Linked DNA regions of Tribolium castaneum. The protein of the gene in region 1 interacts with the protein of each later gene in a pairwise test. Links are inferred from orthologs where the notes say so. Each region holds a gene or a part of one and is shown on either strand. Other genes may lie near its edges.

Region 1 (5,617 bases):
TTTTTTCTTTCATTCGGTTATAATCTTACCAATTATGATTGATTACAATTATTACTCCTCAATTACTATAATTTTTCAATTACAGTTAACTGTAAACTGCTCAATGAAATATTATAAAAGTTGTTGAATTTACAAAATTCTGGGAGCAATTTTTTCCAGTTGTAGCATCGTCACAGCCCTCTACCGCCACAGGGCGCCCCAAATCTCGCAGTTAATCTTAATCAGTGGCGGCGGGCCTACACCTCTGGCAGCTCCGGTCAAAAACAGCGAAATTTCGCCATTTGGGTGCATCCACACCCTATTCAAGCCGCTACTTTTCTGTGGCTTGAAACGGAGTTTCCTGTTTTCTTCCCGTGGAAAGCATTTCGAGGTTTGTGAGGGCGAGTCGGCCATACCTCCTCGAATCCTGGAATACATCTCAAGGGGGCAAAACTGGCCGGAGGGCGACGCTGCCTTCCATAGGCGCATCCTTGTGCCCACGTTACTCGTGCATGGGCTGCAGGATAAAAACGTTACGCTTGTACAACAATGTGAGATGGAGAGGGTTTGTTTCGTGGTTTTGAGGGGGCACTGCGATAGTTGACTGTTTTAGACCATACCGAGGGCCTTTCTGGAACTGATCCCAAATGCGGGGCATATGGCCATGATCGAAACGCCGGAGCATCTCAGCCATATGATCTTGTGTTTTATTGACACCTGGAGCTAATTATCTGATATTTATTTTTATTTATTTTTATACTTTTTACCAGAGCCGGATCGAGACACAGTTTCACCTGTTTTACAGTAGGTGAAAGTCTTAGTGAGGCGGAAAAGTACATTTAAAATTTTTATTACAATTACAAAATTTTACGATTTTTATTTAACTTGTTTTGTTGTCTGTGTTATATCTTTCGGGTTAAATGTGAGAAATTTCTGTTATCCAAATGAGCTGAAATTTTGCATACACACGTAATCTCCGTACTATTTAGTTAATTAGCCCTTAATAATAAAAATTATTAATAATTGTATTCTTGCGGATGATAATATATTCTTTGTCATGTAGATGCTATTAGTAAAATAATTCTAAAATATTTATTATGCAATGTTTTAGTGGAAGTAAATTGTGAAATGTTTGAAAAAGCTTGTACTAAAATTTACTTACCTATAACGGTCTTTTTACCGCTTTACACCTTATCAAAATTCTAAAGTTGTAGATAAATTTCAGAGAAAACATAATTAACCATTTTTAATTCTTTTTTACTTTTAACAGCTAATCATTTTCAATTCATTATTTCCTTAATGGTTTACAAAACTGTTAGCACTTTTTCTGTTTAGTGTTATGTAACCTTTGTTGAATAATTATTACTCCTGTTAAAAAACCAAATTTATTAACAAAAATCGTAAATACACATTTGGCGCCCTTTGTGTGGGCCCCTCACCCTCGATCCGGCCCTGGTTTTATTGTTTGACGAACTTCAGCCTGAATTAACTATGTGATATAAGAAGTGCAAGTATTAATCCGTCCGATAACGTAACGAAGTATTATTTTTTACTCACTTTAATAAAGTTTTTCAACCGAATAAATGCGTTTAATTGAAACCCCCAATCAGTGTTTTATAGTAACAAGTTTATTTTCAAAAATATAATCTTTACAAAACGTTTTTAAGACAATTTGCTGGTCAGTTCTGGCACGGCTTTGAACAAATCAGCGACCAATCCGTAATCGGCGACCTGGAAAATTGGAGCTTCCGGGTCCTTGTTGATTGCGACGATAGTTTTGCTGTCCTTCATCCCAGCCAAGTGCTGGATGGCCCCCGAAATGCCCACAGCGATGTACAAATCCTAGAGAAAAAATAATTACGTGCCCTTTGAACCCGTGGCGAACATACCGGTGCGACGATTTTGCCAGTCTGTCCAACTTGAAGATCGTTCGGAACGAACCCTGCGTCCACAGCGGCCCTGGAAGCCCCCACGGCGGCATTCAACTTGTCGGCAAGATCGTACAAAAGCTTGAAATTGTCGCCCGATTTCAGCCCACGGCCCCCACTGACCACCACCTTGGCACTGGTTAACTCAGGCCGGTCGGACTTGCTCAACTGTTGCCCCACGAAGACAGTCATGTCGGTGGCGCAGCCGTCGGTGGGCACAGTCTCGGTCTTGGCCGAGCCCCCTTCCAGCTTATCGGCCTCGAAACTGGTCCCTCGGACGCTTATTATTTTGATGGGGTCGTTGGCTTTCATAGTCTGGATTGCGTTGCCTTTGAAGGAGGCATTCAGCAATTTTAATTTTTTGGGGGTTGTTATTATTACCTGCATAGATGCTCCGCACGAAGGTGTCGGGGGACTTGATCCCGATGACGTCAGACACGGGGGAGACGTCCAGCTTGGCAGCAACCCGGGGCAAAAGGGCCTTTCCGAAGGCGGAAGCCCCGGCTATGATGTGGGTGTAATTGAACTGTTTTTGCGTTGAGATGATGAGAGGGGTCAGGCTTTCGGCCGTGAAGCCGTTAAAGGCATCGCTCTCCGCGATGAGGATTTTCGAAAGTCCGTTTGCTTTTGCTAGGGCTTCCGCCGCAGGGCCGCATTTTGTGCCGGCGACAAGGACGGAGATTTCGCCCCCGATTTTCTTAGCTGCAGTCAACGCATTTTGCGTAATGGGGTTAAGGCCCTTGTTGTCGTGCTCGGCGATAATTAGGGTACTTTGCAGGCGTTTCAAATGATTGGAAAACTAAAAACTGATCAGTGAGCAAGATGTTATATAACCACAATTATATAAATACCTGGGACGTTAACTGACGCGAACAATTCGAAAACATTTTGCTAAGTCTACAAATTCTTCTACTTTATTAATTATTTAATGATTTTATCAAAGTACATAGAGTTCAAAGTACACCTGACAGTGACAGATGTAGTGTTGCCAGTTCAACAAAACTAAATTAACCAAATGCTAGATACCACTAATTTTCGCACTAAAATTTCACATTGCCAGTTTCTGTTTAAATATAAACATGCATTTTTATTTTTCCATTAACTGCATGCGAAACTTTTATAATTTTAGACGTTTATAGACAAATACATTTGTCATAATTAATTTTTCTAGATCAATACTGTTCTATTTTGAATAATTCTGTGTATGAATGTTTCTAAATTTGACGGATTTGGACAGTGAGTGTTTCTGGTTATGATTTGTTTTAGACGTGTGATGACGTCACATCCGAGGTTAGGTGTGCGGCGCAGGCGGCGAGGGCGGTTCAGTCGACAGCGAGCAGTGGTGCGGGTCAGATCGGGAGCGGGAGCGGGAGGCGAGGCGAAGCGAGGTGAGTCGGTTTATTTAAATTATTGTGTATTGTGCGGTTTCGTTCAATTTATTCAGTTTGTTACTTGCCGTTGTCGCGAACGGACGTGTGTTCAAGCAAATCTAAATTTTCCGGTTTAAATTTTCAATTCGGTGGCTAGTGATCGCGTTTGAGTGACACATTTTAAATACAGTAAATAAAATTATTATCAAACACTCAAATAATTTATTGCCACGTAATAATTTTGTCTTTAATTTCAATGAATGAAAGTGGCTTGCTCAAAATTTAATGCAAATAAACATTTTTTTGGTTTCATTTTTATTATTATTTTTTTTAATGCTACAAACGGTAGCCAACGTGGAAGCGATATGAAGGTAGGTGTATTTTATTGCTGTGTCGTATTTATTTATTTCACAAACCAATAATTTCATAAAACTTAAATGCAATTAAAATCTTTAAATGCGGTGTTGAAAAGTGATATTTTGAGTGACACATTTTAAATACAGTAACTATAAATAAAATAAAACACTCAAATAATTAATTGCCACGTAATAATTTTGTCTTTAATTTCAATGAATGAAAGTGGCTTGCTCAAAATTTAATGCAAATAAACATTTTTTTGGTTTCATTTTTATTATTATTTTTTTTAATGCTACAAACGGTAGCCAACGTGGAAGCGATATGAAGGTAGGTGTATTTTATTGCTGTGTCGTATTTATTTATTTCACAAACCAATAATTTCAAACGTATTGTGTATTTTTTATTTTGTTTAATATTGACAAACGTTGCTTGTTGTAACTTTCATGCAAATAAAGATTTTTATTGGTGTTGTTTTAATTTTTTAAATGTCTTGCTACAAACAGTAGCCAACGCAGAAGCCATATGAAGGTAGGTGCATTTTTTTGCGTTTTATCTTGTGATGTGTTGGTTTAATAGCTTGTGTGCCATATATTATACCGTATTGTGTATCCTTTATTCTGTATAATATTTATTAAAGTCGCTTGTTGTAACTTTCCTACAAATTAATTTTTTTGTTGGTTGTGTTTTTAATTTATTTTTTAGGTTTTGCTACAAATGGTAGCAGATGCAGTACAAAAGGTAAGAGCATTTATTTAACGCCAAGTGAAAAAGCTTTGATTTTTGTGTACTATTTTTTCATTTCACAAACCAATAATTCCTTTATTCCCTTCATTTGAAATAATCATTGTTTACCTCATCCTTATATCCTTTTTTCCTGGCAAGAATGCTCTAAACCTCCACGTGGTTCTTGCCGGACAAATTAGTTATTGACTAATTTGACCAATTAGAGCAATCCTTAAATATAACATTGTTGACTGTTTTTTACAGCCGTAAAATTATGTCGCTTGTTGTAATTTTCATGCAAATAAAGATTTTTTATTGGTGTTGTTTTTAATTTTTTTTAATGCTACAAACGGTAGCCAACGTGGAAGCGATATGAAGGTAGGTGTATTTTATTGCTGTGTCGTATTTATTTATTTCTCAAACCAATAATTTCATAAAACTTAATTGCAATTAAAATCTTTAAATGCGGTGTTGAAAGTGACATTTTGAGTGACGCATTTTAGATACAGAAATTATAAATAAAATAAAACACTCAAATAATTTATTGCCACGTAATTTTGTCTTTAATTTCAATGAATGAAAGTGGCTGCTCAAAATTTAATGCAAATAAACATTTTTTTGGTTTCATTTTTATTATTATTTTTTTTAATGCTACAAACGGTAGCCAACGTGGAAGCGATATGAAGGTAGGTGTATTTTATTGCTGTGTCGTATTTATTTATTTCTCAAACCAATAATTTCATAAAACTTAAATGCAATTAAAATCTTTAAATGCGGTGTTGAAAAGTGATATTTTGAGTGACACATTTTAAATACAGTAACTATAAATGAAATAAAACACTCAAATAATTTATTGCCACGTAATTTTGTCTTTAATTTCAATGAATGAAAGTGGCTGCTGAAAATTTAATGCAAATAAACATTTTTTTGGTTTCATTTTTATTATTATTTTTTTTAGTGCTACAAACGGTAGCCAACGTGGAAGCGATATGAAGGTAGGTGTATTTTATTGCTGTGTCGTATTTATTTATTTCACAAACCAATAATTTCATAAAACTTAATTGCAATTAAAATCTTTAAATGCGGTGTTGAAAAGTGATATTTTGAGTGACACATTTTAAATACAGGAAATAAAACACTCAAATAATTTATTGCCACGTAATTTTGTCTTTAATTTCAATGAATGAAAGTGGCTGCTCAAAATTTAATGCAAATAAACATTTTTTTGGTTTCATTTTTATTATTATTTTTTTTAATGCT
Region 2 (3,503 bases), on another chromosome or scaffold:
TTACTTGCCTAGTATGTTTTGTTTTTAATATTGGTGGCAAGTACTACATTTTGCGTACACGAAATTCCCTAATAAAAGCGCGAAATAGAAAAAATATCGTATAAACAACTTGTTCAAACAGTTTTTTTATTTCCTTACCTCGCCACTAGTATCAAAATTTCAAATTTACAAAAAAAATGTTTTCTGAAGTGATTCAGTCTATAATTTTTGTAAATTGTTAAAAACAGAATTGAAGTATCAAAGTGATAATAAAGTTTTAATTGCAAAGGCCATCAAAATTAAGATGATTGCTGTTCCAATTATTGTGGCTGACATCACTGGTACAAATGGCTTTTTCAGTGTGCACAATATTAATTAGGAGTAGAGGCGACAAAAGAGCCAATTTGTATTTCCTCTGTATCACAACAATAGATTTAATACCCACCTTACTGGTCACACTTGTAGTTGAAATTGATTGCCTTTCCTGTAGTGATAGTCGCTGCTTATGTAACGACGTACCGAAAATTCGGTATTTCTATTTTTAAATAATTTCTGTTGCCCCTCTACACACTTAAGCAATTTAATACAATTGAGGCATAATTTCATTAATACCACAACATCTAAGTGTCTTGCTCCATTTTGCAATGGCAAGTCAAACTCAAGGCATTCAGCAGTTGCTGACTGCTGAAAAAAGGGCAGCTGAAAAAGTCGCCGAAGCCAGGAAACGTAAGTATTTTATTTATAAAAGTTGCGGTTTATATTTAGAGCTACTCCGTGTTATTTCTGCAAGTTAATGCACATTTTGACACGTTAGTTTTATAAATATTTTGACAATTTACGCATCTCAGCAAGTCGTACATTATCCCAATTTTCCTATTATTAGGAAAAGCGCGCAGAATTAAGCAAGCGAGAGAGGAAGCCCAGGCGGAAATTGAAAATTACAGAAAAGAAAGAGAGAGGCAATTTAGGGAGTACGAGGCCAAACATTTGGGCTCGAAGGAGGACATCGCCGCCAGAATTGATAAAAACACCGAACAGATCATCATTGGGGTGGAAAATGACGTGAAAACCAACAAAGAAAAGGTAGCGCTTCTATTTTGGGAGTGTTTGTAAATTGCGTGATTTTATTTACGGCTGCGGCCACAGACTCGCGTTTTATTTCTAATTCAATTATTGTCTGTTTAGGTTTTGGCCGATTTGCTCTATTTGGTGCTGAATGTGCGGCCTGAGGTGCATCCCAACTACAAGATAATGAGAGTCTTCGGGAAAATCTAACTTGCAGCTTCTGACACAATTTTTCGGTACTGTTTAGCACAACTCTATCATTGTTACTCCAGCTTGTTTAATATAAATAACAGTTTCTTGTTTCTCATGATAATAAATTCATTGGTGTTGAGCGTCGTTTCTTTTGAATTCCCGCTCCTATTTGGACAGGGTCGCCAACTTCGTTATGAAACGTCAACTTTGATAGAAGTGTCAAAGTCCAATGGTCCAATTTTTGTAATACCTCCCAATTATTTAATTCCTTTACAACTTGTTGTAGCAATGGCTCGTGTGTTAGTTGGGGTTAAAAGAGTCATCGACTATGCCGTTAAGGTACGTTTTGACACCTTATTTTCGCTTTTTGTTCACTAGTGGAGATTTACAGATTCGGGTTAAGCCCGATAAAACCGGGGTTGTCACCGATGGGGTGAAACACTCGATGAACCCCTTCGACGAAATAGCCGTAGAGGAGGCCGTCCGTATGAAAGAAAAGAAACTAGCGTCTGAAATCATCGCAGTTTCTTGTGGTCCAACTCAGGCCCAAGACGTGATCAGAACGGCCCTTGCCATGGGTGTGGATAAGGGCATTCACGTCGAGGTCTCAGGGGCTGAATACGAAACCCTCCAACCGATCCACGTTTCAAAAATTTTGGCCAAACTGGCCGAGAAGGAAAAAGCCGACATGATCATAGTTGGCAAGCAGGCAATTGATGACGACTCGAATCAGACGGCTCAGATGACTGCCGCCGCCTTAGATTGGCCCCAAGCTACGTTTGCTTCAAAGGTACGTTTTCCGGTTGAGAAATGTATTTAAGTGTTACCAATAATTATTTTAGATAGAAAAGGGTGATAAGGAAATCACCGTGACCAGGGAGGTTGATGGGGGTTTGGAGACGATCAAGTGCAAGCTCCCGGCTTTGATAAGCGCCGACTTGCGTTTGAACGAGCCACGATATGCTACTCTGCCAAATATTATGAAAGCGAAGAAGAAGCCAATTACTAAAATGACTCCAAAGGATTTGGGGGTTGATGTGTCTCCTAGGATCACTGTGGTCAGTGTGGAAGATCCGCCAGTGCGTCAAGCCGGAGCTATTTTGCCCGATGTGGATGCACTTGTTGGAAAATTGAAAGAAGGAGGTCATATTTAAGTACAAAAGGGATGTTAGGTGCAACTGTAAATTTTTATAAAAACATATTTTACTAAGAAACAAGTCTTTCTTTATTGAGTCAGCTTACAGAGGACCAAATATTGGGTCACACGGTGTACCGTGTTGCCATCACAAAAAATAAATAATTCACTTGATTACATCTTTTGATTTCAATGTTTACAATTGGCCATATTAAAACCTTAAATCACTAAATTAAATTGTTTAATGACGTTATACAAGCTTAAGATATCTGCACCTTCTGGTGAACATGAAATTTTAAACCGTTTCTTTGTGGCACTGATGAATGCAATTACTGTTTTTTCGGTGGAAAACTAATGAAATGACGAGTCTCATAATATAATTGCACAAATTGAGATATTTTTTTATGGTATAACTCAAAATGTGCAATGTCAACCTCACGTCACATTTAAATTTCTCACACAGAAAACCCATTTCAGAATTCACCACCAAAGAGTGTGGGAGACGTAAAGCGGATTAGCTCCTAGAGTATTTTTTATTATAACAATGTAAATAATTATACAATTACAATAATTTTTCGGTTTGGTTTTGCAAAAATACGTTGTTAAAAGTTTGAGAAAAAGACGAAAATGATACCATTTTTGGCTTGTTTTCGACATTTTGTGAAATAGTTGCGTTTCTGTTTAAAAAATTAGCTAAAATGCTCAAAAAACGCAAAAATAATATTTAATTACAATTATAACTAATTATAATTTCGTAGCTTTCTGTTTAGGTTTGATATTCTGCATGAAAAGGTGCTGAAAGGTCTAAAAATTTAAGATTTTAGGGCTTATTTTTGAATAAAGAAGTCAAATCGACTGGAACATGTAATGTACCACTAAATTTGCATTAGTTTCTTGTTATTTTTATGAATTTAGGGAAGGATTTACAGATAAGGATAAGGACGTCGACAAGATAGCGAAACATCATAAAAAAGAAAAATATAGGGTGATTTTAAAGTACCGGACAATCTTTCGGGTGCTGATAAAGGACATCAAACTGAATTAAAAGTTCCTGTGACAAAAAATTGTTTGTGCCCTTTTTCACGAGATATAGTTCTTTACAGTTAAATTTTTACGTTTTTGGTGTTTCAGA

Evidence for each region. The genes of interacting proteins can lie anywhere in the genome.
Region 2: the proteins of wal (region 1) and Etfb interact in a two-hybrid assay, tested with the Drosophila melanogaster proteins (2 studies listed by BioGRID). The link is inferred for Tribolium castaneum from reciprocal best matches to the Drosophila melanogaster genes wal and Etfb.

Annotation. Positions count from the first base shown.
Region 1 is NC_087403.1:1,723,638-1,729,254, forward strand, and holds wal (electron transfer flavoprotein subunit alpha, mitochondrial), read right to left. Parts: upstream 2,918-5,617; 5' UTR 2,795-2,917; coding exon 2,759-2,794; intron 2,707-2,758; coding exon 2,289-2,706; intron 2,237-2,288; coding exon 1,869-2,236; intron 1,822-1,868; coding exon 1,642-1,821; 3' UTR 1,586-1,641; downstream 1-1,585. Other genes in the region: protein ABHD8, read left to right, coding at 160-544, 593-706.
Region 2 is NC_087396.1:10,352,172-10,355,674, reverse strand, and holds Etfb (electron transfer flavoprotein subunit beta), read left to right. Parts: upstream 1-1,416; 5' UTR 1,417-1,524; coding exon 1,525-1,575; intron 1,576-1,627; coding exon 1,628-2,026; intron 2,027-2,078; coding exon 2,079-2,390; 3' UTR 2,391-2,545; downstream 2,546-3,503. Other genes in the region: V-type proton ATPase subunit G, read left to right, coding at 624-705, 863-1,062, 1,165-1,254.